Coturnix japonica: one gene and its partners. The main gene of each other region encodes a partner of the protein of the gene in region 6 in a complex. Links are inferred from orthologs where the notes say so. Each region holds a gene or a part of one and is shown on either strand. Other genes may lie near its edges.

Region 1 (5,156 bases), about 99 Mb from region 6:
GTTTTCTGCCAAGGTGCCAATACCTACTGCAACCTTTACTTCTTACTGCCACTTCAGTTCTGACTACGCAAAGTGCGGTTACCAAATGCCTGATATATGTTATACTCCGTCCATGCAAGTGTTGAGTTACAAAGCACAGAAGACCTACACGTTTTTTGTAGCAGTAGCTGTCAGAGGAATTTTTTGGGGAAAAAAAAATAAATCCCCTGTTAAAAATAGTCTCAATTTTTTGCTTGACTGAACTGTACAAGATTTGGTTCCCTAATTATACAGACACAATGGTTTAACTCAAGCTGCAAAAACTTGCTGTTATTCTTCATCAGCATCTCTAATTCAGCAACAGCGTGTCTGCAACACTGAGAGAAAACAGAAAGAGATTTCTGGTTTCTGCCATTATCAATTATGGTATCAGATCCATTTTAGTGCTGAGACCCCAAACACGTTCCTCCTTTGACTTTCCTGTTGAACCTCCACCAATACACATCTTACTTTGTTTTGCCTTCTGCCTCCTGCATTTCCTTGTTGTATTTCCTAGTATTTGTTGTATTTCCATCTCCTATCACTTTCAGTGAGGACATTATCTTCCTTCCTTTCTTACAGGAAGTAAGAGGAGCTCACAAGATTGTTGATGTCAGAAAAGGAATCATCATTTTTCTTTTTTAAAAGCTCTCTTTATAACTCTACTGGTTCTCCGCCATACTGTAGCCCTTTGCTACAGTCTCTTCACCTTTCCACTGCCCCTTTTCTCTCACTTTCCACTTTCAGTATCTCTTCTAGTTCTCCACCCAGTCTCCCCAACGCCCTGCAGTATTTCAGGCCTCCCGCAGGCTCTGCCTCTATTCTGCTTTAGGGAAATTCCGCTACTGCAGCAAACCAAGTGCTTACCCACCTGGTTCTATGGCACCAGGCATCCTGCTACTCTCAACGCACTCCTTCCTAACTGTGACCTATTAGGACCGGTCCTGTATGCAAAGCACGTACTGCCTCACGTGTTGAAACCCCCGATGACTAAGAACCTCCAAAAAAGTGAAAAACAGTTACACAAAACAAAAGTTGTCCGAGCTTGTTGGCTGCTTTAAGCTTTGAAAGCCGTCATTAACCACGGGCTTCCTTTTGGCTGAAGTCTGTAATGACAGTGTTTGCAAGCACGGTGTTCATTAGCAGCCAGGATGTGTGAGGCCAATGCTCCTCTTGCAAAGCACGTTTAATTTTATCAGATAATCAAGCCTATTTTTGATCACAAAGTGCTCTTTGAAAATGACAAGAGCAGGCACGATCCAAAAAATGAACAGATACAGAGGGAACTAGTTCTATTTTAAAACCTCTGCTGAGATGATAAAAATGATTCTGGGGCTGAAGCACTGCGTTCCAACATTTACAGGCTTTCTTGTCAGCTGAAAGAGCTGTGGGAGATGGAAGAGCAAAAATCAAGTTAGAGAGATAATACACAGGAAGCCGATGCTATATCAGGTTAAAAACAGCCAGTGCTTTCAGCGACAAACTTGGAAACCAGAATGGAAATATTGCTACACTAAACTATGCAGAACGTGTCGATTTTGTCCCTCTTTTTCTTTATAAGATAGCATGAAACAGAGAATTTGCACCAAGAAATGGCAGAAGTCAGATGCCAGCCAGGCTGCTTCGTGTATGAACAAAGAATGTCTGCCTTTCTCACACACCGAGTTATCATGCTCTTGGAAGAAAATGAAGATCATCTATTTAAATAGTGTCTTTATGAATCACAGGGGGAAAAAAAAGGTTAATGGGGGAAGATCGCCTCCCTTTAAACACCATTTAAAAAGCCCAAAGCCACAGTGAACCTAAATAGGGAAATATATGTTGGGGCAGAATTTCCCTTCAGATTTTTGTACATTATTCTGTTCTGGAACCCAGGAGTCGAGTTGTCTCCATCTCCTCACTCAGCACACCATAAACTGCAGGAAGCCGAGTCTTAAACACTCGTTTTGCAGAGGTCAAAGAGAGTGTTAGCAGGCAGGCGGCTGGCTCCCCACATGGGCAGGGCAGACACATGCTTTTTCTTCTGCATCACTTTGTATCCCTCTTATGTTACCCAATATATCTGAAGTAAGGAGGGCCACTAAGGTGAACAGAGGGCTGGAGCATCACTCCTATGAAGAAAGGTTGAGGGAAATGGATTTGTTTAGCTTGGAGAAGAGAAGGCTCCAGAGAGACCTCATTGTGGCCTTCCAGTACTTGAAGGAAGCATTTAAACAGGAGGGGGAACGGCTGTTAATGAGGGTGGATAGTGATAATACAAGGGGGAATGGTTTTAAACTGAGACAGGGCAGGTTTGGGTTAGATATTAGGAGGAAGTTTAACATAGGGGCACTGATGCACTGGAACAGGCTGCCCAAGGAGGCTGTGGATGCCCCATCCCTGGAGGCATTCAAGGCCAGGCTGGATGTGGCTCTGGGCAGCCTGGTCTGCTGGTTGGTGACCCTGCATGGGAACACGGGATTGGGATCCACCTGTGAGCACCTGCAGGTGTGCTGTGCATTTTGATACCGAGCGTTGGAATTTAAGCACTCCAAACACAGAACTGCAGGGGTTGGAAAGGAGAACATCTCTGGAGATCAGCTGCTCCAACCCCCAGCTGCATGCACGAAGTCAACCTTTCATTGACTCCCATCTCGGATGAAGAGATGTATTTAATCTGCTCTTAGAAGCCTAAAAGACGCGACACCCTGAGCATGAGGAGGTAGAACCGTGTCCCCAGGTAGTTAAGCAGAGGAGGGGGACAGATAGGCAGGGGGGTTGGAACTACATGATCCTTGAGGTCCCTTCCAACCCGGGTCATTCTGTGATTCTGTGATTCTGAAACCCACAGCAGCCTGGAATAGCTGCCGTTTACTCAGTGCCGCCTCTAAACAGCCATTCTCACTCTTCCCATCGCTGCGGCTCGTTCTCTCTCCGGACAGCTCACGGAGCCCGCAGTTCCCAGCCCGCCCCCTCGGCTCCGGCCGACACTCCCCCTGTGCTGGGCGGGCGTTGGGGTGGAGAAGCAGCAACGCGGAGTCTCCCGTCGGCTCGGCACAGCCCCGAGGTCGGGGCAGCGTGTCGGCGGGGGCAGGTGCGGCGGTTCCACGCTGCGCCGTGAGGCGGCGGCCGTGTCCGGGCTGCCCGTGGGCGTGCTCCCTGCGGGAGGGCCGCCCCGAGCCCACCCCCCCGCCGCCCAGCGTTCGTTCGCCTCCTTCCCCGAGAGCCGGTTCGGCGGCTGCCGCTCGCTGTCGGGCCGCTGCCCCCCGCCATGAAGGGCCGTCGGCGGTGGTGCTGGCGGGGGGAGCACCGGCGCTTGGCGCTGCTGCTGGCGCTCTACACGCTGCTGCTGCTGCTGCTGGTGCCCTACGTGCTGGACTACGGAGCCAGGCGGGCGAGAGCGGACGAGGAGCCGCTGCTGCGGCGCTGCCCCAGCCTGGAGGAGGCGCTGAGCGAGTGGGGCTGGGAGCAGCGCCCGCCGCCGCCCGGAGACGACGAGGAGGAGGAGGAGGAGGCGACGGCGGCGGGGAACGGCAGCGGGGCGGGCAAGCGGCACATCTACCTGCATGCCACATGGCGCACGGGCTCGTCGTTCCTGGGGGAGCTGTTCAACCAGCACCCCGACGTCTTCTACCTCTACGAGCCCATGTGGCACCTGTGGCAGGCGCTGTACCCCGGAGACGCGCTGAGCCTGCAGGGCGCCCTGCGCGACATGCTGCGCTCCCTCTTCCGCTGCGACTTCTCCGTGCTGCGCCTCTACGCCGCCCCGGCCGCCCCCCGCGACCCGCTGGGCGCCGCTCCGCCCGCCGCCAACCTGACCACGGCCGGCATCTTCGGCTGGCGGACCAACAAGGTCATCTGCTCGGCTCCGCTCTGCCCCGCCGCGCCGCTGCCCCGCCGGGAGATCGGCCTGGTGGACGGCGCCGCCTGCGAGAGGCGCTGCCCGCCGCGGGCGCTGCGGGAGCTGGAGGCCGAGTGCCGCAAGTACCCGGTGGTGGTCATCAAGGACGTGCGGCTGCTGGAGCTGGGCGCGCTGCTGCCGCTGCTGCGGGAGCCCGGCCTCAACCTGCGCGTGGTGCAGCTCTTCCGCGACCCCCGCGCCGTCCACAACTCTCGCCTGAAGGCCAAGCAGGCGCTGCTCCGCGAGAGCATCCAGGTGCTGCGCAGCCGGCACCGCGCCGCCGAGCCCCGCGGGCCGCCCCGCCCGCAGCAGCCCCCGCTCCCGCCCGGCCTGGGGCTGCTGGGCGCCGGGCGGGCCCCCGCGCAGCACCGCGCCGAGCTGTTCCTCGGCGGAGCGCTGGAGGTGATCTGCCAGGCGTGGCTCCGAGACCTGCTGCTGGCCCGCCGCAACCCCGCCGCCCTGCGCCGCCGCTACACGCAGCTCCGCTACGAGGACCTGGTGCGGGAGCCCCGAGCTCAGCTGCGCCGCCTGCTGCGCTTCGCCGGCCTGCCCGTGCCGCCCGCCATGGAGGCGTTCGTAGTCAACATGACCCGAGGTGCCGCCTACTCCTCCGAGCGACCTTTCCTCATCTCCGCCCGCGACGCTCGGGAGGCCGTGCACGCATGGAGGGAAAGGCTGAGCCGCCAGCAGGTGCGGCAGGTGGAGGCGGCGTGCGGCGAGGCCATGAGCCTGCTCGCCTATCCGCTCAGTGCCGGGGAGAGGCGGTAGGGGATGGATGGGGACCGTACGGCAGCGAGGGGCGAAGAGAGCGCCGAGATGTGAGCACCTGATCTGAAGGGGCGTTAAGGATGGACGCCAAGCGTTGAGGGAACAGCAGGGATGCTCTTCTAGGAGTTCTGAGGTGTTTCGTAGGGACACCTTCGTCGTCCTTGTGGGACGGCATCAAGCTCCAAGGCCTAATGGACGTGAAACTGATGTACCAGCAGTTGTAAGTACTTAAAACTTGTATCACTGATAAAAACAGAGACTGCAGGCATCACCCCTACCGGAGCATCAAACACATCTGGTTCTGTTGTATCACTCTTACAACGCGTGAAGGAAGCATCTGTGGGAGCTCCCTGTGGGATCTGGCTGCCCACGCTGTGCCCATGGCCTGGTTGCCCTCCAGCTGTGGGACAGGCACTGCCTGCACCTCCCTCAGCCCCCACCTGCAGCCCTGCCCTCAGAACACTACGTGAGCATCTGTCTGCTTCTGTGT
Region 2 (4,356 bases), about 110 Mb from region 6:
AACAGATAATGGTAAAACTAGTAAATTTGGAAGTGTGCATGTGGAAGACTTAGTACTCCCAGCACAAGACAAAAGGAAATAGAGGGTACATATGGAAAGTCATCAAGGAAGATGAATAAAAGGAGATGAAAGAGTAACGGTCACTTTCCAGAGACATGGTTTTTTTCATTTCCTCATTGCTACAAAAACTTGTAATCAAGGATTAGGTTAAACAAGCAGGAAAATTCCATACACAATAAAACTACTTCATCTTCACTATCTACCATTAAACAATCAGTCAAAACCAGCAAGAAAATATAAACTTCACTTGTCACAACTGATTTTTTGTCCATTTTAAAATCAGTTACAGTAATCTAAACCCAGTTTACGAGTATTTCATCCATTTAGACCTCTCACCTGGCATACTTTTCAAAAGCTTTGCATTGCACATGTGTCCTTTCCATATATCGGTAAGAATGTACTCCATTCGCTTCGCTCTCCAAAGGAAATTAAATACTCTTAAATAGTGGCTCATGCACTCACGTGTAAACACCTACAAAACAAACAAAATATCAGTACAAACAATAGATCTCACGTGTTCTGAAGAACCAATAGCATCTTCACAGTTCATCTACTCTGACCCACGCAGTTTATTGTTAAACATCAGCAGAACAAAAACAGCTCTTAGGAAAATGTTCCCTCAAGGACTGAGCTGAGCTATCCAGCATTCAAGCACCAAGCACTGCTGACAGCAGAGCTGCAGCACTCTATGTTTGAGTACTCTGGAGTATGGTCCACAGTACACTTCAGCTGTGTCTTCTTACAGCACTGTTGCATTTAAGCTTATTCTAGTTTAACACAAAAAAGATTCCTGCATTATCAGTATTGCCACACTGCATTCTTAAGAAGACTGAAGGAAAATGGAGCAGAAATGCATTAAAATTTATCTGTTCTGCATAAAAGAGTCTTCTATTTAAGTACACTGAAATAAACATAAGTAATTCTTAGAACTGCTCTAATGCTTTTGCCAGTTCCAATTCCTTGTACAAATGTATTTGTTGTTCTACCAGATTGGCAACTGAAAAAACTTGAACCTGTAATTGCTTCTTGAGAGGTTTTCTTCACTTTCAATCTCATGTGCACAGAAGTGTAAGAAAGGGTGAATACGACAAAGATTGCTCTTCAAACTCCATATGTATGTAACAGTTCATTCACATTTCAGTGTTACAACATTTTTACAGAGACTAAATGCATTCTGATCAATACTGCTGCTGATTGTATCAAGAGAATTATTTCCTCAGTAGTTCTTGTGAACACTATCTATCAAATTTAATTTAGTAAGTACAAATAAGTTCTCCTCAGATACATTCTCCAGTTCCTGGCAAATTACCTCAAAGTAGCTGCTACAGACTCATAACAATAGTCTAAGAGGAGCAGCACTCCATTTATTAAGTACCCGTCAAAATCTCTGCTAGAACAAATAAACTACTGATTTTCAGTAACTAATGTTTTGAACGTGGTTTTTCAGCACTCCCTGTTAATTTATAAGAACTGAGGTTTTGGCTCAGATGTTTATACAGTGGATACATCCCTGATGCTGAGGGGAAAAAAAAAAATAAAAAAATAAAAAAAATAGGAGTCTTTCTGATATAAAACACTCCAGAGTAAAAAGGTTATTTCAATAACAAAATGTTTAGCAATCCAGCTCAGCATCTGAGACATGTTCACAACCAGCAGTATATGACATTACCGTTGCTATTGGTCCGTCAACATGATAGTCCAAACTGAAGACATCCCATCCAGTGTCCCCAGGAGATACCTGTATTGAAAAGATGTGTAAACTTTAGTGCCTAATCAGAGAATGCTAGTGCAGAAGAGCTGCTTCTTCTTCTCTTATGATGAAATATGAAAAGCTAATATGAAAAAGCAAGTGACCACAATACATGACATAGGAGTTCATTGTCAAGAGTAGTAGATTAAGCAAAAATTAACTTATGTTTTACACAATGGTGGGATTCACCTCACCCAGTTGCTGATGTTCATGCTGCCAGTGGTTTTTTTTCCATTGAAACTAGTAAAATAAATGAAGGGGAGACTTCTCAGGCAGGACTTTGCCTAACGAACAGGCTTGCTTCAGTTGCCTGAGTTCAGACAGTTCCCACCACTGGGAACTGTCTCCAGTTCTGGCTGGAACTTCCTCATCAACTCAAGTTTCTTAGTAGAGGTCTCCTTCATGAGATGCAATTTCATTTCTCCACTCTTCCTCACCACCAGTGACTACTGGTGAGAAAGAAGACCACTCCAAGACCTGCTTGCAGAACCCCAAATCAGGGCCATCTACATCAAGTACTTGACCTTATTTTGCCAGTGAAATGGCTGTGCAATCACAATTCAAAATATAAACAGACAATGGGCAGGAGATGGGAAGAGAAGGCTCAAGTGAGGTTCACATATTTCAAAGTGGGCTTCAATGGAAAAAGGGGAGGACAATAATATTTACTATATGTGTTTATCAAAATTTTATTTTACATAGATGTCTGTATACACAAACACTAAATGTATTTTCATTCACTTATGTTTCAGGTCAGAGTCACCATGGTGCAACAAACCTCCAGAAGTCGTACATCCAATCGTTTGAGAATCTCAGGATTATCGAACTGTGCATTAGTTGCCCTCACTGCTGTTTCAAGAATTCCTGTTAGGTTATGCTGGTACAAGGTTGTGGCTGGTCGTGCAAGCTCAGGTCTGAAAGTTAAGAAACAGAAAAGCCATGGCAGACTTCTTAGATATTCTGTAGCAGCAACTGGTTCTAACTGCAGAATGCAGTGAAATAGTTTCCTGAAAATTCGAAACCTCTTATGTTACTCTTTCAATGTTAACCACAAAGAAAATCAATCAACAGAATATTTATAACTGTTTGTATGTGTGCAGCTATACACCTGAACACCAGCATGAGGAGTAAGATTATCCTGATTCAATGCCAGTCGTTTCAAGTTACTAGCACTGCTATAACAACAGTTCTGAAAACTCAGCTGCATAGGCAGATTGACTCATCAACATGTCAGAACATTAATTCTGTTTCACAGTTTTGATACACGTACTGATAGGCATCTCATGGGCTTAGAACTGCTGACAGAAACATGTAAACCCACTCCCCCTGTGAAACCTTCCAAGGACAGCAACATGCAAGCTTTGCAATCCTCTCCCTCGTGACCAGTGCTGGAAAGTCCCTCTCTACTCCTGCCTCAAACGTTATACTGACTCCCATGCACCAATGTTGTTCTGCTTCACACTATTTTCCACTTAAAAAAGCAAGGTTATGTACAAAGAAGTTGATGGAAGCTTTATTAGAAAGCCTGCCTTTCAGAACAAAGGAAAGCTTTGTTAAGGACATTTCTGGTAGACTAAGTTTCATTAGTAACACCAGCATGAAAAAGCAGCCAGCTTGCAAAAACACTTTATGAACTTAAACTTCAAGGTATGCTTGAATGCTTAAAACAGAGATTGGTGAGGCATCAATTAAATAAAATAGAAAGGAACTAAGGATGCTTTGGACCAAACGCATCCAAAACATAGAAGACTAATGCTCAGAGCAATACTCACTAGAGGTGTCAAGAGCTCCAGAAACTGAACTTTGCTACTTAAACTTGCTGACAGGAACAAGCAAAGTACAAACATCTCTGAGCCTCTCACAGGCTTGATGTAAAGGTACACTAATATAGTTTTTCAAGTCATTATGAAATAATATAGAATATACTTCCTACCAAAAAGAACAACATTTCAGCCCTCGCGGTCAAGGAAACTCAAGTCAAAATAGGATTTCAAAGTTGTTCAGGTAAAACTTTGAGTAATAATTAAAGCGCCATCTTCTGACAGCAAAGTAGTACTGATCATGCATACTTGGGAGCATCAGAAATTCACCATAATTACCCTTCTTATTCTTACTTGAGCAAATCCATTAAATGTCTGATAAAGTCTCCCTGACCGAGTAGTAAGTAACGCCTCATGGCCTGCATATGTTCCAGTAAGTTGTACTTCTTATTGAGAACATCCAGTAAGTATTTGCTGGTCTCAAAATAAGCCGCATCAATTTTCTCTTGGAATGCATTTTCTAGATCCGTGAACAAATCAGCAGCTAAAAAACAATAAGTTAGAATTAAATTTGTATTTTTCCAAAAAATGAGGCAAACAAGCTTTGAAACTGAAATGTACATGCAGAGGAATTACTATTTACTTTGATCTACTGTATTATGCATTAGGTATAGCCAAAGTGAAAGCAAGTCTAAAGCAGCTCATACTTCAACAACATTATTTTTAACATGTACTTCTGAGTTCATGTTACGTTGTCACTCCTACACAGAAAGTGAGTTTTCCTTT
Region 3 (4,857 bases), about 120 Mb from region 6:
GAGTGGCAAGGGAAGCCATCAGAATTACTATATTACCTAAACATCTGGGAACTGAAAAATACACTGCCAATGCACAAGCACTCTAATTTCAGAAGCATTGAGGATACATTTGCTGTTTAAATTTTAGTTCCGCAATTCTCTTCAGAAACAAATGACAACCTGTCAACACTGCAAGAATACTTTTCTGGTTTTGACATGCAGCACTGAGTCCAGTTAAACGTGAAATAACCAACTGCTTATTTGTTTTAAGTATTTTAACATTTTCAGTCTTTGCTGATTTCTCACATTTTTCTAGGATACATTTATTGTCAATCTTTCCATACAGTAGATTCTTTAATACTTTTGAAAACATTACACACAGTATTCAGAAGTTTTAACACAGATTCTACACCTTTCTGGAGTGATTTCTTGGCCAGAGTAATAGGAAATAAAAGATATTTATCATGTTTTCTAAAGCTGTGACCCAGATAGAGTAATGTGTGATGTAAACTCAAAAGAACTTTTCCGTCCGCACAAAAGATGAACCTTGAATCTTTATTACGTGTGCTTCCCCTGTCAGCCTGCTTTGGGTTCTATTAACACCACTACTTAGAAAACAGTCTAACAAAAAATTGGAAAAGCTAAAACAGCAGCAGAGGACAAACACAAGAAAATTTTCTTCCTATGAAGAAGCATAACTCCTGGATGCAAAAGATTCACTGAATGATAATTTGTTCAGTAGCTTAATGCATACACTAGAAAGATTTGTTTTTGCATCAGTGGATATTGTTTGTGCTGAAGGAGAAGACTCCCCTACACCAAGTGACTGTTTAACACAACTAAATCAGCCCCTACTTGTAAGATGCTTTGACTAGTAATTAACAATATATGCTTAATATTTTCAGGTTGAGTGTTCAGAACATACGCAAACAGCATTTGATATTCCACGTTATCTACATGTCAAATTTACATACATCCAAATTCCTTTCTAAAACAAGTTAAAAACTCTTTTTCCAACAGAATTAGAAGGACAAGTCATTATCTTGATAATCAAAAGTGCTTTATTTCTTACTTTCAGAACATGACTTAAGTCATTTAAGTCATCATCTGTACTCTAATTAAAATCAGCTCAATAGGGACTTCTTTCCTACCTTTACCACAGATAAAAGCATCCACATATTTTCACACTAGTACAACAGGAATAAACAGAACACAATAGCACTTCTAAAGAATGCGTTAACAAGCCATATTCGTGATAACATTCACTGTTACACACTAGTAATTTCAGCAAACCTTCAATCTCTGACACTGTTTAAAAATCCTACATGCTGAAGGGCAGTTACACTAAAATTCACCCCTGGTTCATAAAAATAACCAAGTATTCAAGTGTGGTAAGATTACTGGTGGGCCTATTTAAGAAAACCCAACTTTAAGCTCTTCCATACATTGCCTTTTTCAAGATGACTTAGAGATACTCTGAAACCTCCAGATATAATTTGACTTCGTATTTCTAAGTAGCAGCCAATGTTCAAATTCTTTATCAGCTCTACAACTTCGAACTCTTCTCATGAAGAAGGATTCTATCACATCAGCTTGTCATATTTTCAGCAGCCTAGGGAAAAAAAAAAATTTGTCACCAAAAGCAGACATCATTTATGTTGTAGATTTGAAGCCCAGATATGAGATAAAAAGAGAAATGAAAGCAACACAAGTAAGACATAAAAAATAGAAAAGAAATAGAACATCCCTCAACAATGTATATGCACAATTAAGCTTGTGTACACACATTTAAGCACATACACAAATAAAAAATACACACAAGTATAGAAGAGTTTGAAATTATAAAAAAATAAAATAAAAATTTAAATTATGCAAAAAAAAAGTCTGATTGTAAAATCTGAAAGCTGAGTTCTTTAAGAATCAGAACATAGCCTTCAAAAACAGATAAATAAACAACATAAGATGTAGTGGAGAAGGAATCATGATGGTTAGGTAGACAGCAAAGCATCAAAATCCTTTAAAGGGCAAATGAGAATTTTTTAACTATAGTTATTTTCCCTATTAACCAAATAGTTACATGTGGCTTTTTATACTTTAGTACTTACAATGCACACACACCATGAAATGCTGTGATTTGTCTTTGGAGAGACGTAAAGCACAGGTTAATGAGGTGACAGCAATGTGTGGAGACTGTTAGCCACAACAGCTTCATGAACTTGTTCACAAGTGTTGCTACAGAAAGGGTAGTCAGGCATTGGAATGCACTGCCAGGGAGGTGGTGGAGTCACCAACCATGGGAGTGTTCAAGAAACATTTGGATGTTGTGTTGATGAATATGATTTAGCTGGGAAGTATTGGTAATGGTTGGACTGGATGATCTTCTAGGTCTTTTTCCAACCTTGATAATTCTGTGATACATACTATGAGGCCTGAGGGTGTATAAGGAGCTGATATGGGCTGAAGAAGAAAGCTACAGTCCAGTCAGGACATGAAGCAGATAAAGGGAAATAGTGGCTGAAAGCACCAAGAAGAGAAATCTGTTTTGTTGATTTTTTTCTTAATTTTAAAGGAAAAGAAGCACAGCAAATTGAACCAAAGATTTGATTCTTTTAAAACCGTGTGCTTTTTAGGGAATGGCATTACCTTTAGAGCTTCTGTAGCCTTACGCAGTTCTTTAATGACAGAAGACAGTGCTTCTGGGTTGATGCCTTGCTCACAAAGCCGCACACAAATAGACAAGGTCTCCATATCCAACCCAGTATTTAATATTCTTGAAATCTCAAACAGAACTGCAAGGAAAAAGAAAGCAAATTAGCCCCAACAGCGATCAAAGAAGTTATTAATCAAAGCTGAATTTCTACTGTACAGCATGGAAGTGGCAGTTATGGAACCTCAAGCAAACCAATGTATCTACAAACAAGTGCCGCATCCCCAACCCCACTGGCCCCTCCCGCCCCTCCCTCGTACCGTCCATCGTCTCCCTCACGGCGTTGAGGCTGGCGGCATTGCTCGCCATGGCGACCGCCCACCCGGAAGCAGAAGGAGCGACCCCAACCTCACGTGATTCCGGGACTCCGCACCAGGCCCAAGCGGAACCTCCCGCTCACAGCAGGAAGGTGGGGGGCGGGCTAACGTTCGAATTTGTGCAGCGGCTCTGCATGCGATTGGCCCGTTCGTGAGCGGAGGGGAGCCTACGATTGGTTCGCCGGCGGCTGCGGCGCGCGTTGATTGGGCAGAATTCGGGAAGGGGCGGGAGGTGGTTAAAGAGCCGCCCGGCTCGGCGGAGGCGGGCAGTTTTAATTGGAGTCGGGTATGAGTGCGCGTCGCGGCAGCGGGGCTTCGGTAGCTGGGCCTGAGGAGTGGGGGGGTGGTGGCGTGGTGGCGGCCCTTGGTACAGCTGTCCCGTGAATACGTGGCTTTAGGCCTCTGCTGCTCGCTGTGTGCGTTCCTCGGCCTGTGAGGAGCGGGGAGCCGCCTCGCTGTGGGGCTGACAACTCCTCTGAGGCCCCGCCGTTCGGTACGGGAGCACCTGGCACGAACGCGATTGGTTTCCTCCATGCTGGTTTCCAGTACCTCGTTTCCTTTGGCTTTGCTTTCTAGGCTCCGTCTTTGTACCAGCCTCGTTTATCTGCTTCTCACTGGTCCAAGCCAAAATCTGCTTTGCCGTTATGAGTTTTCTGTCTCTTCTGAATGACCGGTCATGGGTTGAAATTCTTAGAATGACCCTAACGAGTCAGAATGGTAATTTCCTCCCCTCACATTTCCTTCTGTTTCTCTTCCCCAGGCACAGCTTCACTGCTATGGGCGATACAGAAGAAGCCCAAATGCAGATCAGCCCCGAAACTCCTGGGCGGGTCACAGTTCTGAATCCTTTCGAAAGCCCCAGCGATTATTGCACCCTTCAGGAGCAGATTGTCTCCAGTCCTTCCGTCTTCAAATCAACAAAATCTTCATCTGTAAGAGCTCATTTTCTGTTCTATGTAGTGCCGACACATAAAAACACGTAACACAGTGTATTTACTTGATTTAATGTATGCAAACCCAAAGAACTTGGGGTGTTTTGTGGTTCTTTCATTTACCTCAGTAAGCTTCTTTTAATGCTAACGCTGTAATTTGGTCTTCGCACCTTGATAATGAGATTAAAAAGACAGTGTTTTGTTAGATCGTTTTTCTAAGTGCTACTTGCTCACTATTTTGTACTGAAGTGCTACTTCAATGGATGAGACTGCTTTGTTCCCAAACTGGATCTTATGATCTATGCCTGACAGTGCCCTTTGTGGCCTGCTTCTAGACTGTCCTCTGTCTCCTTTGAAATGTAAAGTAAAAGGAAGGTTGCTGTATTATTTCGATATCCTGGCTTGGATGATTATTGAAGTGCTTTCAGGGAGCCACAGTTTTCATTGTGGCCATGGAGAAGCAACTAAACTTAATCCCATGTTTCAGATCTGTAGTAGGCCTGTTCTCAGAAATGGAGGGGGAATAACATGACACTTCAGTTATTAATTGTTTGTAGTACTCTTTTGCTTAATATTATCTCATAATTAATTTTAATTCCACCATCAAGACAAAAAAAAAAGTCTGAATTAGTTGCCTTTTTTAAAAAAACATTATCAGACCAGCAAGTATTCACGTGACTATTTCTTTTTTTTTCAGACACCAGGAAAATTTAGGTGGTCTATTGATCAGCTTGCTCTAATAAATCCTGTGGAAATTGACTCAGAAGATATCCGACGCCAAGCAATGTATTTGAGTCACGCTAGGTAACTTACCATCTGTCTTTATGCTGTTGATTTAGCTTGAATAGCAGAACACTGTTCATTTGCTTTAGTGACATTTCTTACATTGTTAAAGAACCTTCATTCAGGTTTTTCAACATAC
Region 4 (4,356 bases), about 57 Mb from region 6:
AATTAAAAATGGTCCTGCAGAAAGAGAAATAACCTTAGAAGTACACCAGAGGCCTACTTTCATTTGTCACTGCAATGTCCTGTTCTAACTGCAACCAACTAGTTTCCAGCTGCTATACAAATATATAGTTCTGCACCTACTACATTAAAGTAGGTAGAGGCCTATTAAATTCACAATTTCAGTTATCTTACCAGAGATGGGTATTGGTAACACCACAAGGATGCCTACATCTGCCAAAGTTCAGCAATATAATAATGTTGGTCATAAAAATACCACAGATGAGCAGAGCCTTCAAACTGCTGAAATGTAAAAAGAGCTACCAACTTAAACCAAAGCAAATAATTAAATTTATAGTCAGAATCTTACGTTAATAGATACTGTCTCCTACACTCTCAGGCAAAAAGCTGGCACAACAGTAACTGCAGCACACAAACGAAGAGAAACCTCCCCATTTGAGCACAAAGACATTGGTCAACTGCCAGAATTAAAGACTTTTCTGACTGAAATTCTCCTTTATAAAAATTCAACTTTATCCAAACTCTTTCTAGATAGGTACCACTTCCACTAGACTTGCCACCACAAGAAGTATTCCATGTCTGGAAAGTAACTTATTAAAACTACAGTCAAGCAGAGAAGCCCGTAGACCAGGTACCACTCAGACACCTGAGCATGGTGCTTAAACAATGCCCAGGCCTCACAGTGCTGAGCAAGGACACAGCAGCTGCAGCAAGGGGCTGACTCTACCCTGATTGCTAGCACATCGTCGTCTAGTACACAGTAGCTGGTAGTTTATAAGTTATCCCAGAACTGGTCTCTTTCAAGCTGTGCTACTGCAGCTGTTCCAGTGTAAGAAGAGGAAAAGACTGGGATCCAGAAGGCAACAGTTATCTTTTCCCTGCTAGTCTAAAGCTAAGATAATACAGTGCAGTACCAAACAACTGTTAGGTAAACTTTATTCTAGCCATTGCTTATCAGCAGATCTACCCCCATCAGTGAACATAAACACCTCTGTTCTATAGAAATGCTGGTAATATTTAATCACCCAGCCCTAGGGCTTTCTTAACACTCTAAGAAAATACAGACTACAAAGTAAAAGAGAACTCCTAGAAGCCAGGCCTGCTGTATTACCTTTCAGAACACAAAGCAATACAAAATGGTCTGCCTTCATAAATATTTGTTATGCATAATGGGAGCAGAGTTTTTCGAAGACTAGGCATGTTCTCCTGATCAAAGTATCCAAAACTTCCGTTTATGACAAAGATAAACAAGATTCCTGTTTCCAGACAGTCTATTTTTGCAGGCTAAAAAGGAGCAACATAGAATACCTATTCATTCTGAACTCAAACGGGAAAAAAAGAAATGAGGAATTCCTGATCTAGTAGTGTTATCGAATTAAATTAATAAGAAAACTAGTTAAGTGACACAGTCAAAAACTTACTCGAGCGGCTGAGGCTACTGAATCTGGGCCATGAGCTGCATTTTTTAGGCCATCATGTCCGAAGTTTGCTCTGATGCTTTCCGGTTCATCAGTTCGAGCAACTGCAGAATTTGCAGGCCCCAATAATGTCTTCCACTTACAAATTGCATCATCCCGTAAGATTTCCATAGCAACAACAGGACCACTTGTTATAAACTGGAGAAGCTCACTGCAAAATGGAAACAGCATATGGTGATCCAGGCTGTAAATTAAAGCCAACGAAAATATGCAATCCAGTAGAGATGTTCAAAACTCAACTCAGCAAAGCCTATGAACAACCTAACCTAACTTTGTAGGCTCTGCTCTGAGGACAACTTTTGTTCTCATTGATTTGAAATGATTTATAATTGTTTCTAAATTTGAGAAGAATCCTATATAGAAGATGTAGTGAATAACACTCTAGAAGGAAAGACCAAGCAGGCATGGACAAAAGCTTAAGGTCCCACAGATAACTACAAGTTGTGTAGACAGACATCTGTGAAATAACAGCACAGGCAAAACTCTTGCTTGCAAATCAACATATTCAAACATAATTATTCAGCAAAGAAAATGGAGTTCTAGATCTCCTGATCTCCATCATGGTCAGACATAGCCTGTACTTATGTCTCACTGAAGGGCTTGAGTTTGGACCCACAATAAATCAGTTGCTGTTGCAGAACAATAAATATATGCATCAAGTTAAAAAAACAATGTACCTACTTATAAAAAGGTCTTGATTGATGGTCTACGTAGAAATCAGCTGCTTCTTTTCTGGAAGAGTAAACAGACACAGCTTTATATATGCACAGGCATTTATATGTGCATATATATATACACGCACACTCGCACGTATATATAAACCCTGAGAACCACAAACTATCATTCATCAACATTTTTCTACACATAATGCCTTCCCAAGTTGGAAAATGTATGGGGCATTCATACCCAGTAAAAGAATTCATACCCATACACTGCTCCAGAAGTAATGCCTCCTATTTATTTCAACAGAAACTGCAATAGATACAAAGAGTACAATAACATTATTTGATAGTATTTGTACCTGAGAATCTTCTCTGCTTTTTAACAGTTACTTCCACTAGCTGTGCATTTTCACCAGTGATAAACCAGACCCTGCATGCCACTCCCATCCAAAACTGCACCAGTGGAAGTGACCCACTATTGTTGTCACCAGTGTTGAAATGTAACCACCTGCCATCTTACTTGGCCCACATCTGCTGTTTGGTTCCCAGAAACACTCAGTAAGCATCAGTGAATGTCTCTGGGTGCTATTTTTTCCTGCATGGAGGAATTCAATATGACACACCTTTGCTTCATCTGCATTCCCATGTCAGATGCCACTTTGTCAGACTGCCCCTCTTCTGCCATCTGCCACGTGGAAACAGCATGTGAGGGAATACTGCTGTGAAGGTTCAGCCTCCACCACCATCTCACACAATATCACAGGAGGCATTACTTTTGGAGCAGCACTCTTACATTTAACTTTGTCATACTGAGCATGGTCAGAGGTATAATCGACTCCTCTTCACAGTCCTGATCTGGGAAGGAAGTTATCACTGCAACCTGTAACTAAGATTTTCAAGGTCACTGATGGGCTCCACATTCTCAGGTTGGGAAACAAACAGCAGAAACAGCCACTTGACAAGCTGTTCACTGTTACATTGCTTTGATCTTGCAGTTCAGCTTGAGTGTGTATGTTGGGTAACGAAATCTGGTTTTAAAGCATAAATAAACAATTTATCTGCTTCATTGAAACTTATTTCCTTATTGGAGCTAGTGTTTGATGACAGTTAACAACAGCATATTGCATAATCTGGTTTCTACTCAGTATCCACAAATGTTACAATTCAAATAGGCAGCACAACCCCTCTAGATTAAAACATGCTTTCTCATACTCTTTTCCCTTTGATAACTGAGTATTGTCATGCACTTCCCTCAGGGAGAACTCCAGTTACTAGCATTGCCTTCTCTCATAGCAAGGGATTTCCATAATGAGGAGGGCTCTGTATCTTGTCAGGTAAACAAAGGCCAGCAAGCACACAAAGTATCCATACTGCAGCTGTTATTTAGTCACAGTACCTAAGTACAGAGACAGCACAGCTGATGCTGCAGGCTAAATGCCAGAATATTCATCATTAACACAGGATGATGGCCCTCTCCAAGCTTTACATCGCCACAGCCATGCTGCTAGTTAGTGCTCAGTTTCAGGGTCTGCAGTACAGGCCCACGTTCCATCCACCTGTGAAACATCACTTTGGCTTTTCACCTTCCCACTTCCTGTGCTAGACAGCCCACTCTCCTCCCTCCTTTTTCTCAAACCACACCTCGTGCAAACTCTTGCTGCCTTCACTGTTTTTTTCTACATGAAAACAGCTAGAAGAATCTATGAGAGTTTTCAAGTTTAGCTGTTATCTTCCAACTGCAACTTCAAAATTCCAGTTCAGAAGTGCAGGTTTGGTCTTGGCTTGCTCCAAATCCTTGTGCGTAGCATATTCTGATGCTGTAATTTGAGGAGAAGGATAAGCTCTTCAGATGGACAGGCAGCTGAAAGCAAGTAATACTGCTGACCTCCCAGTCCGCGTACAAAGCTCATAATCAAAGCAGAGATGCACAGAGACTTAAAGATTCCCATTTGGAAACAATCTCCTGAAATTTAATGGTCTCCATGATTTTGCTCACTTCAAGCAGCTCCCCTTTCTGAAAGAAATTACCTCAATATATTTCAAGTAACAGGCTGCAAGTCTGAGCCAAGTCGCAGTAACTGTCATCTGTAATGCAACTTTTCACATCTCTTTTTCTTCATTTGTAGTCCAGACTTAAGCCTGATATTGCCAGAGGCAAGAAATAACCTCAAGGAGAACTTGAAGATAATTTAATTTTGC
Region 5 (5,116 bases), on a different chromosome or scaffold from region 6:
CCCCGTCCAGCCTTTGCTGTGCATCCAAGCCTGGAGAACGTTCAGAGTGTTACAGTTAACACAGAACGTCAAACCGACCGGCCATTATTCAGAGAAAAGGAAAGCTGGCATAATACAAAGTCGTATGCAGATAAGGCTTTGAGAATACACAGGCTCAGCACCAAAGGATTGAAAGATGGAAACGTATCATTATTACAAAGACCAGCTTTACTAAGCAGATGGACAGATCGCTGTGCACCTTGCAAATACACAAACCTGAGTACATTTCTCCTCTAAAATATGTATGTATATAGAGATTGATAGATATGTAAGTACACCAAAACGCAGCGGTATCGATCAGAACTACTGAATGATTTTCACGTGAAGAGGAGCTACTTACATTATGACTTCACAGCTGACAAAAGAGGTACCCAGAGAAAAAAGGGGAGAAAACGAGACTGAAGAAAAGATTTCTTCATGTCTATTCATAACATAATAAATAGGGAGGTAAAAATTAAGGAAACATTAAAACTCAGCAGTGTTAAACCAGATAGAATCACACAAATTCAGATGCTGGTCAAAGGAAGCTGAATGCTCAGGAGCTGAATGCTCAGGAGCACTGCTGAGCAGAAGGGATCTTCTCCTCCTGTGTATTCTCTGCTGCCCAGTGCTCTCAGCTGAACAGCAGCACACGAGGTGCCCGGGCCTTGATGCAGTTAACCTGGGTTTATTAAGAATACACATAACAACCCTGAGGAAAAACACATTTTCCCATTTAGTCAGAACTAAATAGGAAGAGTTACGGAACTCATTTATCCAAGATGTTTAAGCCTTATCCGCTGTGTCAGCAACAGGGTTTAGTTCCCTATTCAATTTTGCTGTCTTTCACTACATTCTATTCTATAGGCCCTTGATGCCCTGTAGAAATTGAGATGGAATTACCCTGGTTGAATAAGTCCATATATTCTACACACACATACACAAGTAATATATGTAAACACTTTTATATAAATATATATAAACGCAATTATTGCATACACATATAGTTGCAAAACATATTTCTATATCCAACAGCTGCCTGGGACACCGAGCTGTGTGCACGCTGTCTGCAGGACTCTCCATGAAAACCTGAGAAGAAGCAACAGAAAAGGAGGAGCCCAAATCCTGACCGGTCCCGTTACAGTCACAACCTGTGCACGGCAGAGCCACAGGCTGCCAGAACAGCAGGTGAGCACTTACTCTTTGGAGGCAAACAAGCAATCTCACCACTCAGAGCTACAGTATCTTACCTAACACCATCCAACAGATGGGTAACACTCACCAACAAGGAATTCCAACAGCACGTCGCTATTTAAGTGGGTTTGATTCACTGCCAACATTTGGGTGACTTTGCTTTCCCAAACATCAGCCTCCTCCCACCTGCAGCGCTGACAAACAGCTGCTCCTTCTGCTTCACAAACTCCACATCCTGCCCTGGTGGAAAGGAAGGCACCTGGAACCCTCACCTTTGTGTGTGAAGGAATGCCACTAAAAGCTTCATTTTGGTTACAAAAGACCGGTACGTTTACATTCAAAATGTCTCCGACAGGTTAAATACATTATATAGACATTTACACAAATAAGAGCACCAGCAGGGGAAGGATGGAATCGGGCCGAGCCCCGCCGTCCGCTCCCACCCACTCGAGGGCCCGGCTGGCGGCTCCTCAGGGCTGTTCTGGGCCCGTCCTGCCCCAGCCCCGCTGAGACCCGCCCCGCTCTCCCCCAGCCCCGCTCGCCCATAACCCCTCTCTCCCATAGCCCCGCTCTCCCATAGGCCCGCTCTCCCATAGGCCCGCTCTCCCATAGCCCCGCTCTCCCATAGCCCCGCTCTCCCATAGCCCCTCTCTCCCATAGCCCCTCTCTCCCATAGCCCCGCTCTCCCCCAGCCCCGCTCTCCCCCAGCCCCGCTCTCCCCCAGCCCCGCTCTCCCATAACCCCTCTCTCTGCTGCGCCCGCTGAGACCCGCCCCGCTCGGCGGCCTCGCGCACCCGATTCCCGCCGGCTGCAGAGCCGCCCCCGCCGCTCGCGGGGCATCGCGCAGGCGCGCCCTTCCCGGCGGCCGTTGCGCTGCGCGGCGCTGCCCGGCGGCGCGATGATCCACGAGCTGCTGCTGGCGCTCAGCGGGTTCCCGGGCGCGGTCTTCACCTGGAGCAAGCGCGGCGGGCTGCAGGTGCGGCCCCTCCGCTCCCCTCTTCTCGCCTTTCGCTTCTTCGCTCCTTCACCGCTCCCTTTTCTCGCAGGTGTCTCAGGAATTGCCTTTCCTGCACCCCAGCGAGACCAGCGTCCTGAACCGCCTCTGCCGCCTCGGTACCGACTACATCCGCTTCGTCGAATTCGTGGAGCAGTACACGGGACACGTCCAGCAGCAGGTCGGGCACTGTCGGTGCAGCGCTGCGCCAGCACAAACTCACTGTCCTGAGCAGGGATCTGTCAGGTTCTGTGTGGTGTAAATGAGCGAGGGTGCACAACTGCCTGTGTTGAAAGACATGATGGAGTGCGGAAATCTCATTCCTAGGGGAAGGGAACGTCATGTGGTAATTTCTGGTCCCCGCGGTTCAGCAGGAGATGGTGAAGTGCCCAGGGACTCAGGAGGCATTCGTTCATAAACACAGCAGTGCTGCAGCACGCACAGGCTGCTGACCGTTCCTGACTCCTGCAATCATCCACAGAAGAGCTAAACAGCTCCGTTCGTTTTGTTTTCTTGGTCGTTTTATGGTTGTTGAAGGTGCATTTCAGAGCGTTGTGACCATTGGCTGCTGATGTAGTGTTGCAGGAAGCTCCATTACTCATCAGACCTGTGCTGAGGGCCTGCTTTTATTGTTCTGTTTCAGGACCATCACCTATCTCAGCAAAACCAGAGTGGATTGCATGGCATTTATTTGCGAGCATTCTGCACAGGCCTAGATTCAGTGCTGCAGCCGTATCGACAGGCACTGCTTGACCTGGAACAAGAGGTAAAGGAGAGAGACTTAGGGCAAGAGGCTGTTTGCCGCTGGCACATTGTGGAAGCTTGTCATTTCTGCCGTTACTGTACTGATAAGTGGTAGTAGTTAAAGAGACAACAAGATAGTTTCCTTTCCACTTTGGGAATGGCTTTCAAATTACTCCTGTGAGATGCTATTGTAAATGACTGTTTATTTAATAAGCTGTCATTCCCTTCCACATACAATTCAATAAGTGCCCCATCAGCCTCAGCCTGGTGCTGTTTCTCACTACCATGACTTCAGTTTTCAGTTGCAGAGGTTCTGATAAAGTCCTCGGGACTTAGCAGATGTTCTGTCTTAGGTACTGTCATCATCCAGTGGTTTCATTAAAAGTTACATATGGGACATAGCGTGATACGAAACATAGAGCCAAACTTGCCTTTTTACTTATCTATGCCATTTTCTAATTTTCATTAATTGCTTTGTTGTCCTTACAGTTTCTGGCTGACCCACATCTTTCCATCTCACATGTTAATTATTCCTTGGACCAGGTAATGCTGATGAACCTGTTCATGCTAATGGTTACTCTTATCATTTTGTAACACATCTAATGAGAATGTGAATGGTGTAAACAAGGTTTAGTCTTTCATCTTACGTCATTTCTCCTCAACATCTCCAAATTTATAGTCCTGTAATCATACTTAGAGGGTCACTTGCACTTTGACACAACACATGGGTCCTCCTCCTTTACCCTGGCATAGTTCTCTCAACTTCTGTTTATTCTGAACTGCAGCTGGAATACAGTGTTTGAATAACCCTTGGTCCAGGTGAGGATGGACATTGTTTCCAGTGATTTTTCAGGTCACTGACTAGTTTCCAGCTAGAGTGGAAAGCATACTAACAGCTTGCTTAAACTACTGTAATTACCTGTTGTCCACACTTACTTAAGAGTAACAGTTCTCTCCCTTGTGCTGCAGTTTCAGTTACTCTTCCCATCTGTGATGGTTGTGGTGGAACAGATCAAAACTCAGAAGGTATGGTAAAATTTTAGCTAGTCTCTCTTAGCAAGTTTCCTCTATAGCTGATAAAGTATTTTGTGCCTTTATCCCAGAACTGAATGCTAGGAAAGAATCTGGTTTCAGTTAGTGTAAGTATTGAATGCTTTACAGATCTCTTTACACTCAGTTTGACTATTTCCTCATTATTAGCAAGATGCATTTTGTAATCACAACATGCTTCAAACTACAAGATGCTGCTAGTTGGAATTTCTTCTTTTCTGATTCTATTTTCTTCTATTCTTGAATTAAAAAAGGAAAAGGAGTAGCTAATGTTTCCAAAGTCCTTGGAGGTTTAGTTTTCATCTAGGGAAGCTTTTGAGAGACGCTTACATAGAAGACTTCTTTCTACACTACGCAGAGTATGTTTAATCTTTTTCTATCAGACTTCTGCGGTTCTTGTTAGCTGAAAATGTAGCATTTAAATCCTTGAAAAGGTCAGTACAGATCCAAGCAACAGTCCTAGTCTAACCACTTTTTCTTTCTGTAGATTCATGGATGTCAGATACTAGAAACTGTCCACAAACATAGCTGTGGGGGGTTGCCTCCTGTTCGCAGTGCTCTTGAAAAGTAGGTAGATGCAACAAAACTATTTTGTTTGTACTTAACACCTGACAGTAGTATCGGAGTGTTTTCTTACTTGTGAAAGCAGATGATGCTGCTCGAATCAGACCTGCATGATTTAAAAGGGCAAACTGTCACAGTCTCCTTTATTTATCTAAAACAGATTCATGGCAGGAAGTAAAGCTTTCTCCATATTTTGTACTTTTGAGGATCCCACTAGGGCATCTTTTAGGGCTGAAGTCTAAACAAAATGTCTTGGATACAGCAGACATTGTTGTTTTTATTCATCCTTTAGAAAATAAAATAAATTTCACTGTGTATCGATGTAATGTAAGTATCACATTGCCTGTCTGATGAGCTGGAGTTTCCAGAATGATGTACAATGAGGTTTTGATTACTGTGTGCGATGGACCCACTGTCTGTTTCTTTTGATTTCAGGATTCTGGCTGTGTGTCATGGAGTCATGTATAAGCAGCTCTCTGCCTGGATGCTGCATGGATTGCTACTAGACCAACATGAAGAGTTCTTTATCAAACAGGGCCCTTCTGAGAGTGT
Region 6 (4,356 bases):
TCACTACACACAGAAGGCAGGATTCATCTTACTTTAGGTATCTGCTGTTAAGATCACTTTATCTGAGCTACCTTGTGAATGCCCCCTCCTCCCTGGAGGCATTCAAGGCCAGACTGGATGAGGCTTTGAGCAACCTGGTCTAGAGGGAGGTGGGTTGGTCTATAGCAGGGATTTGGAACTAGATGATCATAAAGGGCTCTGCCAAACCACACCATTCTATGACTCTAAGTTTCTAGTATCTCATTCTCACTTTATAATCACTGGAGAGTTGGATTAATTTCATTTGCTACAGACATCTCCTTTACAATGAGATGAAATGCACCTTAGAGGTCTGAGGTCATATTTCCGGTACAGACTCAATAAATCACGTATGATCCTGTCTATTTTTGAGAAATACTGTAATTGTAACTGAAAAACTTAAAACAGAAAATCTGTTATCACCGTAGGAAATGAAGCACCAGCTCCGCCACTGATCCCCAGGGCTGTTGTTCCTATGCCACAGAGTTCAGCCAGATATCTAAAAAACAGTATTAAATCATATGTAAGAATTTCAGACAGAAGTCTCTGAAATCACAGTGAACTGGACTTTGCTATAGCTGAAATTCACACAACCCTACGGTATTATCTGAATAGCAACAAGGATAACGAAGTAACTGAATGTAAAGACTTTACATGTTTTTCCAAGGGAACATAAAGAAATCTTGATGTGAAATTGCTGGAAGAATACCGAAAAATTATGTAAGAATGGCTGCCTAATACTCTCCTGTTTTGTAAAGGAAAAAAACAGACTGTAGTTTGTGTTTTATGGAAAGCTTAAATATTTAATGTTATTCTCTTACCTCAACTGACGGCCCAGTTTCCTGAAGAGAAAGCTGATGGTCAGAAGACTTAAAGTAGGAGGAGTAGACAAAACACAGGCTCGGTAATACTGAAGATACTTCCTCAGACCACTTGTGAAAGCCTATTGTCAACAGAAAATATTTACAAAGCCTTACTGGTAAAGCTGTTAATAGTTACTTATATCTCACATCAGTTGAACCGGCATGAAAATGAGCCTTTAATAAAATAATCTGCATGTAAAAGTAAGAGGGGCTCGTGTAGGAAAGTAAGAGTCCACATAACTTCAGGCATACAATTAACCAAATGACTCCTTTATACTCTTCCTACATGCTATGCACAAAGCCTGCACCCAGGCACACAATGAGCATTTTGGTTCACCTTCCTTGAACTGCCCTTTTGAAGGCATTCTGATTTTCTAGCAGCTTCATTATGAACCCAGGGAAACCTGTTTCCTTACTTCCATTCCTAAATTATGCAGTGGAAAAAGCTCCTATAAAAACATCTACTTTTTCCAGCATGACTTAGAATTAAATAAGACTTTTCTGTTCAATTTCTATTGACGTAACTGTAAATGAAATATTCAGGAGGCATATATTTTCATAACTAATCCTAAAAGAACTATATGCATTAGAAAGAGAAATGTACCTGGTATCATGCAGCTACACACAGTTCAGAAAAATATAAAGAGGGTTGACAAGTAAAATGTGCGCTTAATTCTGATCTAAGAAAAGTTATTAAAGCTATTAAATAGCATGTTTCTCTATTTTAGTATCAATGTAATGTATGCAATGTTATTTATATGCATACCGTATTAAGAAAGGTATTATATTTTATATATACATGTTATATATATATAAATGTTATACATTTTAACATATAAATGCTTCTAAATTCTGCCCCTTTAGATCTCAACAAAACCACACAACAAATCACAGTTCAAGTAATGAAGAGCTTTCATTTGTTGCTTTGGGGCAGACAAACCCTAAGCAACCACAGCTCCAATTTAAACAGGGCTCCACGGTGTCACTGTCCCTTGCTGACCCAGGATACATAAATACACATATTTGTATTGAAAATACTTCGCAGTTCTGCAGAAGGAAGAAATTCCAGCCTTATATGAAATCAAAGTTGTGTTCTCTGCCTAAAATAACTGGCCCATCAAACGTAAGTGATTTGACACAATGGTGCTACCTGAAACACAAGCCCTTTGCTGTACGAAGAATCTAAGACTGGCTGAAGGGAGAAGCGACTCAGCCGTGTGTAGTAGGTTCCATATTCCGCAACTTCTGAGAGCAGGTTGTGCATCGTCTCCGGCGAAGTTCCAGACACATAAACCCCCTCCTTTATTATAAATGTTTGAGCAGCCTAAAATGAAACAGGAGAGGAAAGCAAATAGGCTTCAAATATTACCCAGCTGCATTCTGATTTAAAACAGCAAACGTTTAGAGACAAATCTTCAGCATAGGTACTCTGGTAAATCATACTATATATGTAGGAAAATATAATAAGAGTATTAAATTGTAGCAAAACTTCAAAAGTGCATTTTCAAGTATGTCAAAAAAGATTAATTATAACAATTTTTCATGAAAACCCAGCCTACAACATTATTCAAACTTCTGTTTTCTGTAATTAGCTCATTTTTGCTAATTATTTTGACAAATACTTGTTCCCTGCCTATAAGTCGTTATTACAATGTACAGATGTGACGTTATCGCAATTAAGTCACACTTATCCTCTTAACACAACTGTGAGATCTCAAAATAAATCATGTATTGAAAAGGAGGTATCTAAGAAAAAAAAGAAAAAGCAAATGCAACTGAGAATTGCAGTTAAATACATTTCATACCTGGTTGAGTGAAAATGTAGTGGATACCACACCAATGAGGACATTCAAGACATCCTTCACCAGTTCAGGTTCCCTCATCAGCACAAGCTGTGGAAGCTGAAGTACGGTACTACTGAAAAGCTGCATTTCCCCCTCTCGGAGCTTGTAGAACTTGTCAAAAGCTTCTCTCCCAGCCTCAGTAAGGTACGGCTCCTCCTTCTTACCAGGTGGGCTGCCAGAGTAAACAAAATATTGGAAGGTGATTATGTGAGAAATAGATCTACCGCTTCCTAGCAGGGATTACCATCCCCTCCAAAACAAATTTCCCATCCAACTCTTCCAAACTCTTCACAGTTCTAGCAGTATTTCTTACAGGAAAGCTTCAGGTATATGGTCTGCATTTGACTTTTAAGGGTTTAATTCTTCTAGCAATTTCTCTTCTGAATCTGAAAAGATGAAATCATGTTAGGTTGAAATAAATTGCATTGTGTATGCAATGTTGCATTTCACATGATCAGAAAGTGTTGCCATAACTCCTTCAGTTTTTAGGTCTAAGATAATTTTTTCTTCCCATGAAACAGATGCAATCTAAAGGCTGGTTCGCTGAAATGGCATGATCTCAATCATTAATACATATATTGAATTCTACATATTAAATATGCATTAAATAGGAATACTGCATATTCCTATTGCATATTTAACTCCTATACTGAGGTCATTCAGAACTAAGATGAATTGCACCTTCATACATTCACATGTGAAGCACAGGAAGTTTGCCAATAACATCAGATACATACTATCCAATTCTTTCCCAGCATCTTCTTTTGCTTGGCCCATATGTAAGCACTGCATCCCACAGATCTATGTCTGGAGTCATGCTTGGCTCTGACTGAGAATCAGGAGTCAGATTGGATGCCGACTGGAATCCTTCATCTTCTGACTGGTCTATGCTTTGAGGAACCTGTCAGAGAGAGTTCAAGCTTTACGTATGAAAACATTACTAGAGAAACATATGCTGATAAAGATTTTGCTATTATTTGTGATCAAGTGACTCAATACGACTCAGCCAGTGCCCACTCCTTTCATCTCTAAGTTTCTCCTTTAAATGTTCCTTCACTTGTTCCATTTTCAAAGGCACCAATGCCTAAATATAAAACAACAATCAATCACCGCTGAAATAATAACACTAAGTTTCTTAATGTTAAAACTGAAACTTACTCCTCTGTATGCATGCAGTTCTAAGAAGAATAAAATGGCACTGCTCAGAAAGTCTTTTAAGCAGATTATTAATGATAACTCTTACAATTTGTACAAATGTTGTTAACACTTTGTTCTCTGATGCTTATTCAGATGCAGAAAACCCGTAAGTGTCCAGGCACTGCGTGTGCCACACTCTGATCTCAGGAGTTGTACATGAAGAACGGCACCCAGGCTTAATAAGATTATGATATCCACACAAAAAACACAGCATGTTCTTCAACAAATCTCAAATCCCAGTCTGATGGAGAGTACAGCACCTAGCAAGGAACATTTGCCTCCTCACAGTTAAGACTTACATCTGTACACGCACAGGGCTTTTTTAATGTCTGAACGCCAGTTTCAGTTAGGACGCTGAGTTAAGGAATTGCAAGAGGTATCCGTATGGTAAGTAGAGAGAACAGAGGAGGAGTAAAAAAAAAGGGAGTAAAAAA

Evidence for each region.
Region 1: the proteins of TUBGCP6 (region 6) and TUBGCP5 are in contact, whole or in part, in a cryo-EM structure (PDB 7QJE), measured with the Homo sapiens proteins. The link is inferred for Coturnix japonica from reciprocal best matches to the Homo sapiens genes TUBGCP6 and TUBGCP5. Residues at the interface, in NP_065194.3 of Homo sapiens: Glu290, Ala291, Ser292, Lys293, Arg294, Arg295, Cys296, Trp297, Glu298, Arg299, Val300, Gly301, Cys302, Pro303, Pro304, His306, Arg307, Glu308, Glu309, Pro310, Tyr311, Leu312, Glu314, Lys322, Arg325, Leu326; in NP_443135.3 of Homo sapiens: Asp211, Asp212, Arg213, Trp215, Leu216, His219, Val220, Val221, His222, Trp225, Ser230, Phe232, Pro233, His234, Leu238, His239, Ser240, Asn241, Leu242, Leu264, Val265, Thr266, Glu267, Thr268, Gln269, Arg272, Val302, Thr303, His304, Leu305.
Region 2: the proteins of TUBGCP6 (region 6) and TUBGCP3 are in contact, whole or in part, in a cryo-EM structure (PDB 6X0U), measured with the Homo sapiens proteins. The link is inferred for Coturnix japonica from reciprocal best matches to the Homo sapiens genes TUBGCP6 and TUBGCP3. Residues at the interface, in NP_065194.3 of Homo sapiens: Pro65, Arg67, Asn68, Leu71, Met72, Ser74, Phe75, Asp76, Arg78, Asp87, Glu90, Asp151; in NP_006313.1 of Homo sapiens: Pro9, Asn10, Val11, Leu13, Gln14, Glu25, Ala26, Ala29, Gln30, Phe32, Gln33, Val36, Arg37, Ile39, Gly40, Ser41, Phe43, Thr129.
Region 3: the proteins of TUBGCP6 (region 6) and MZT1 are in contact, whole or in part, in a crystal structure (PDB 6M33), measured with the Homo sapiens proteins. The link is inferred for Coturnix japonica from reciprocal best matches to the Homo sapiens genes TUBGCP6 and MZT1. Residues at the interface, in NP_065194.3 of Homo sapiens: Met1, Ala2, Ile4, Leu7, Phe8, Asp10, Leu11, Cys12, Ala14, Leu15, Pro17, Ala33, Leu37, Val40, Ala41, Ala44, Leu45, Asn48, Ile70, Leu73, Lys85, Arg88, Leu89, Leu92, Val93, Glu95, Leu96, Leu104, Leu105, Ser109; in NP_001065243.1 of Homo sapiens: Asn17, Ala20, Val21, Thr24, Val27, Leu28, Glu30, Ile31, Ser32, Ile34, Leu35, Asn36, Thr37, Leu39, Glu42, Thr43, Leu44, Ile46, Cys47, Arg49, Leu50, Cys51, Glu52, Gln53, Ile55, Asn56, Pro57, Glu58, Ala59, Leu60.
Region 4: TUBGCP6 (region 6) and NME7 share a complex: the UniProt entries of both Homo sapiens proteins name them as parts of the gamma-tubulin ring complex. The link is inferred for Coturnix japonica from reciprocal best matches to the Homo sapiens genes TUBGCP6 and NME7.
Region 5: the proteins of TUBGCP6 (region 6) and TUBGCP4 are in contact, whole or in part, in a cryo-EM structure (PDB 7QJE), measured with the Homo sapiens proteins. The link is inferred for Coturnix japonica from reciprocal best matches to the Homo sapiens genes TUBGCP6 and TUBGCP4. Residues at the interface, in NP_065194.3 of Homo sapiens: Leu312, Thr313, Ala315, Gly316, Arg317, Ala319, Phe320, Phe323, Leu326, His327, Glu349, Pro390, Glu391, Ser392, Ser395, Leu396, Glu399, Tyr403, Ser455, Leu456, Leu457, Thr458, Gly460, Phe461, Lys464, Lys465, Arg468, Arg471, Tyr472, Glu475; in NP_001273343.1 of Homo sapiens: Met1, Ile2, His3, Glu4, Leu6, Leu7, Ser10, Gly11, Tyr12, Pro13, Gly14, Ser15, Ile16, Gln29, Phe31, Pro32, Phe33, Leu34, His35, Pro36, Glu38, Thr56, Ile59, Glu60, Thr63, Val66, Gln67, Gln68, Ile84, Arg87.

The regions. Positions count from the first base shown.
Region 1 is NC_029516.1:117,432,104-117,437,259, reverse strand, and holds the start of TUBGCP5 (gamma-tubulin complex component 5), read right to left. Parts: upstream 3,271-5,156; coding exon 2,945-3,270; intron 1-2,944. Other genes in the region: CHST7 (carbohydrate sulfotransferase 7), read left to right, coding at 3,269-4,666. UniProt on the Homo sapiens protein: Component of the gamma-tubulin ring complex (gTuRC) which mediates microtubule nucleation.
Region 2 is NC_029516.1:124,270,770-124,275,125, reverse strand, and holds part of TUBGCP3 (gamma-tubulin complex component 3), read right to left. Parts: intron 4,115-4,356; coding exon 3,925-4,114; intron 2,725-3,924; coding exon 2,589-2,724; intron 1,799-2,588; coding exon 1,730-1,798; intron 533-1,729; coding exon 397-532; intron 1-396. UniProt on the Homo sapiens protein: Component of the gamma-tubulin ring complex (gTuRC) which mediates microtubule nucleation.
Region 3 is NC_029516.1:140,208,431-140,213,287, reverse strand, and holds the start of MZT1 (mitotic-spindle organizing protein 1), read right to left. Parts: upstream 3,097-4,857; 5' UTR 2,996-3,096; coding exon 2,947-2,995; intron 2,769-2,946; coding exon 2,623-2,768; intron 1,592-2,622; coding exon 1,568-1,591; 3' UTR 1-1,567. Other genes in the region: BORA (protein aurora borealis), read left to right, coding at 3,780-3,935, 4,633-4,739. UniProt on the Homo sapiens protein: Required for the recruitment and the assembly of the gamma-tubulin ring complex (gTuRC) at the centrosome.
Region 4 is NC_029516.1:74,983,518-74,987,873, reverse strand, and holds part of NME7 (nucleoside diphosphate kinase 7), read right to left. Parts: intron 2,228-4,356; coding exon 2,177-2,227; intron 1,647-2,176; coding exon 1,439-1,646; intron 1-1,438. UniProt on the Homo sapiens protein: Possesses an intrinsic kinase activity. Displays 3'-5' exonuclease activity with a preference for single-stranded DNA. Does not seem to have nucleoside diphosphate kinase activity.
Region 5 is NC_029525.1:18,427,302-18,432,417, reverse strand, and holds the start of TUBGCP4 (gamma-tubulin complex component 4), read left to right. Parts: upstream 1-2,053; 5' UTR 2,054-2,110; coding exon 2,111-2,188; intron 2,189-2,258; coding exon 2,259-2,387; intron 2,388-2,849; coding exon 2,850-2,972; intron 2,973-3,439; coding exon 3,440-3,493; intron 3,494-3,919; coding exon 3,920-3,976; intron 3,977-4,487; coding exon 4,488-4,567; intron 4,568-4,999; coding exon 5,000-5,116. UniProt on the Homo sapiens protein: Component of the gamma-tubulin ring complex (gTuRC) which mediates microtubule nucleation.
Region 6 is NC_029516.1:18,132,815-18,137,170, forward strand, and holds part of TUBGCP6 (gamma-tubulin complex component 6), read right to left. Parts: intron 3,627-4,356; coding exon 3,463-3,626; intron 2,898-3,462; coding exon 2,687-2,897; intron 2,206-2,686; coding exon 2,032-2,205; intron 962-2,031; coding exon 840-961; intron 518-839; coding exon 442-517; intron 1-441. UniProt on the Homo sapiens protein: Component of the gamma-tubulin ring complex (gTuRC) which mediates microtubule nucleation.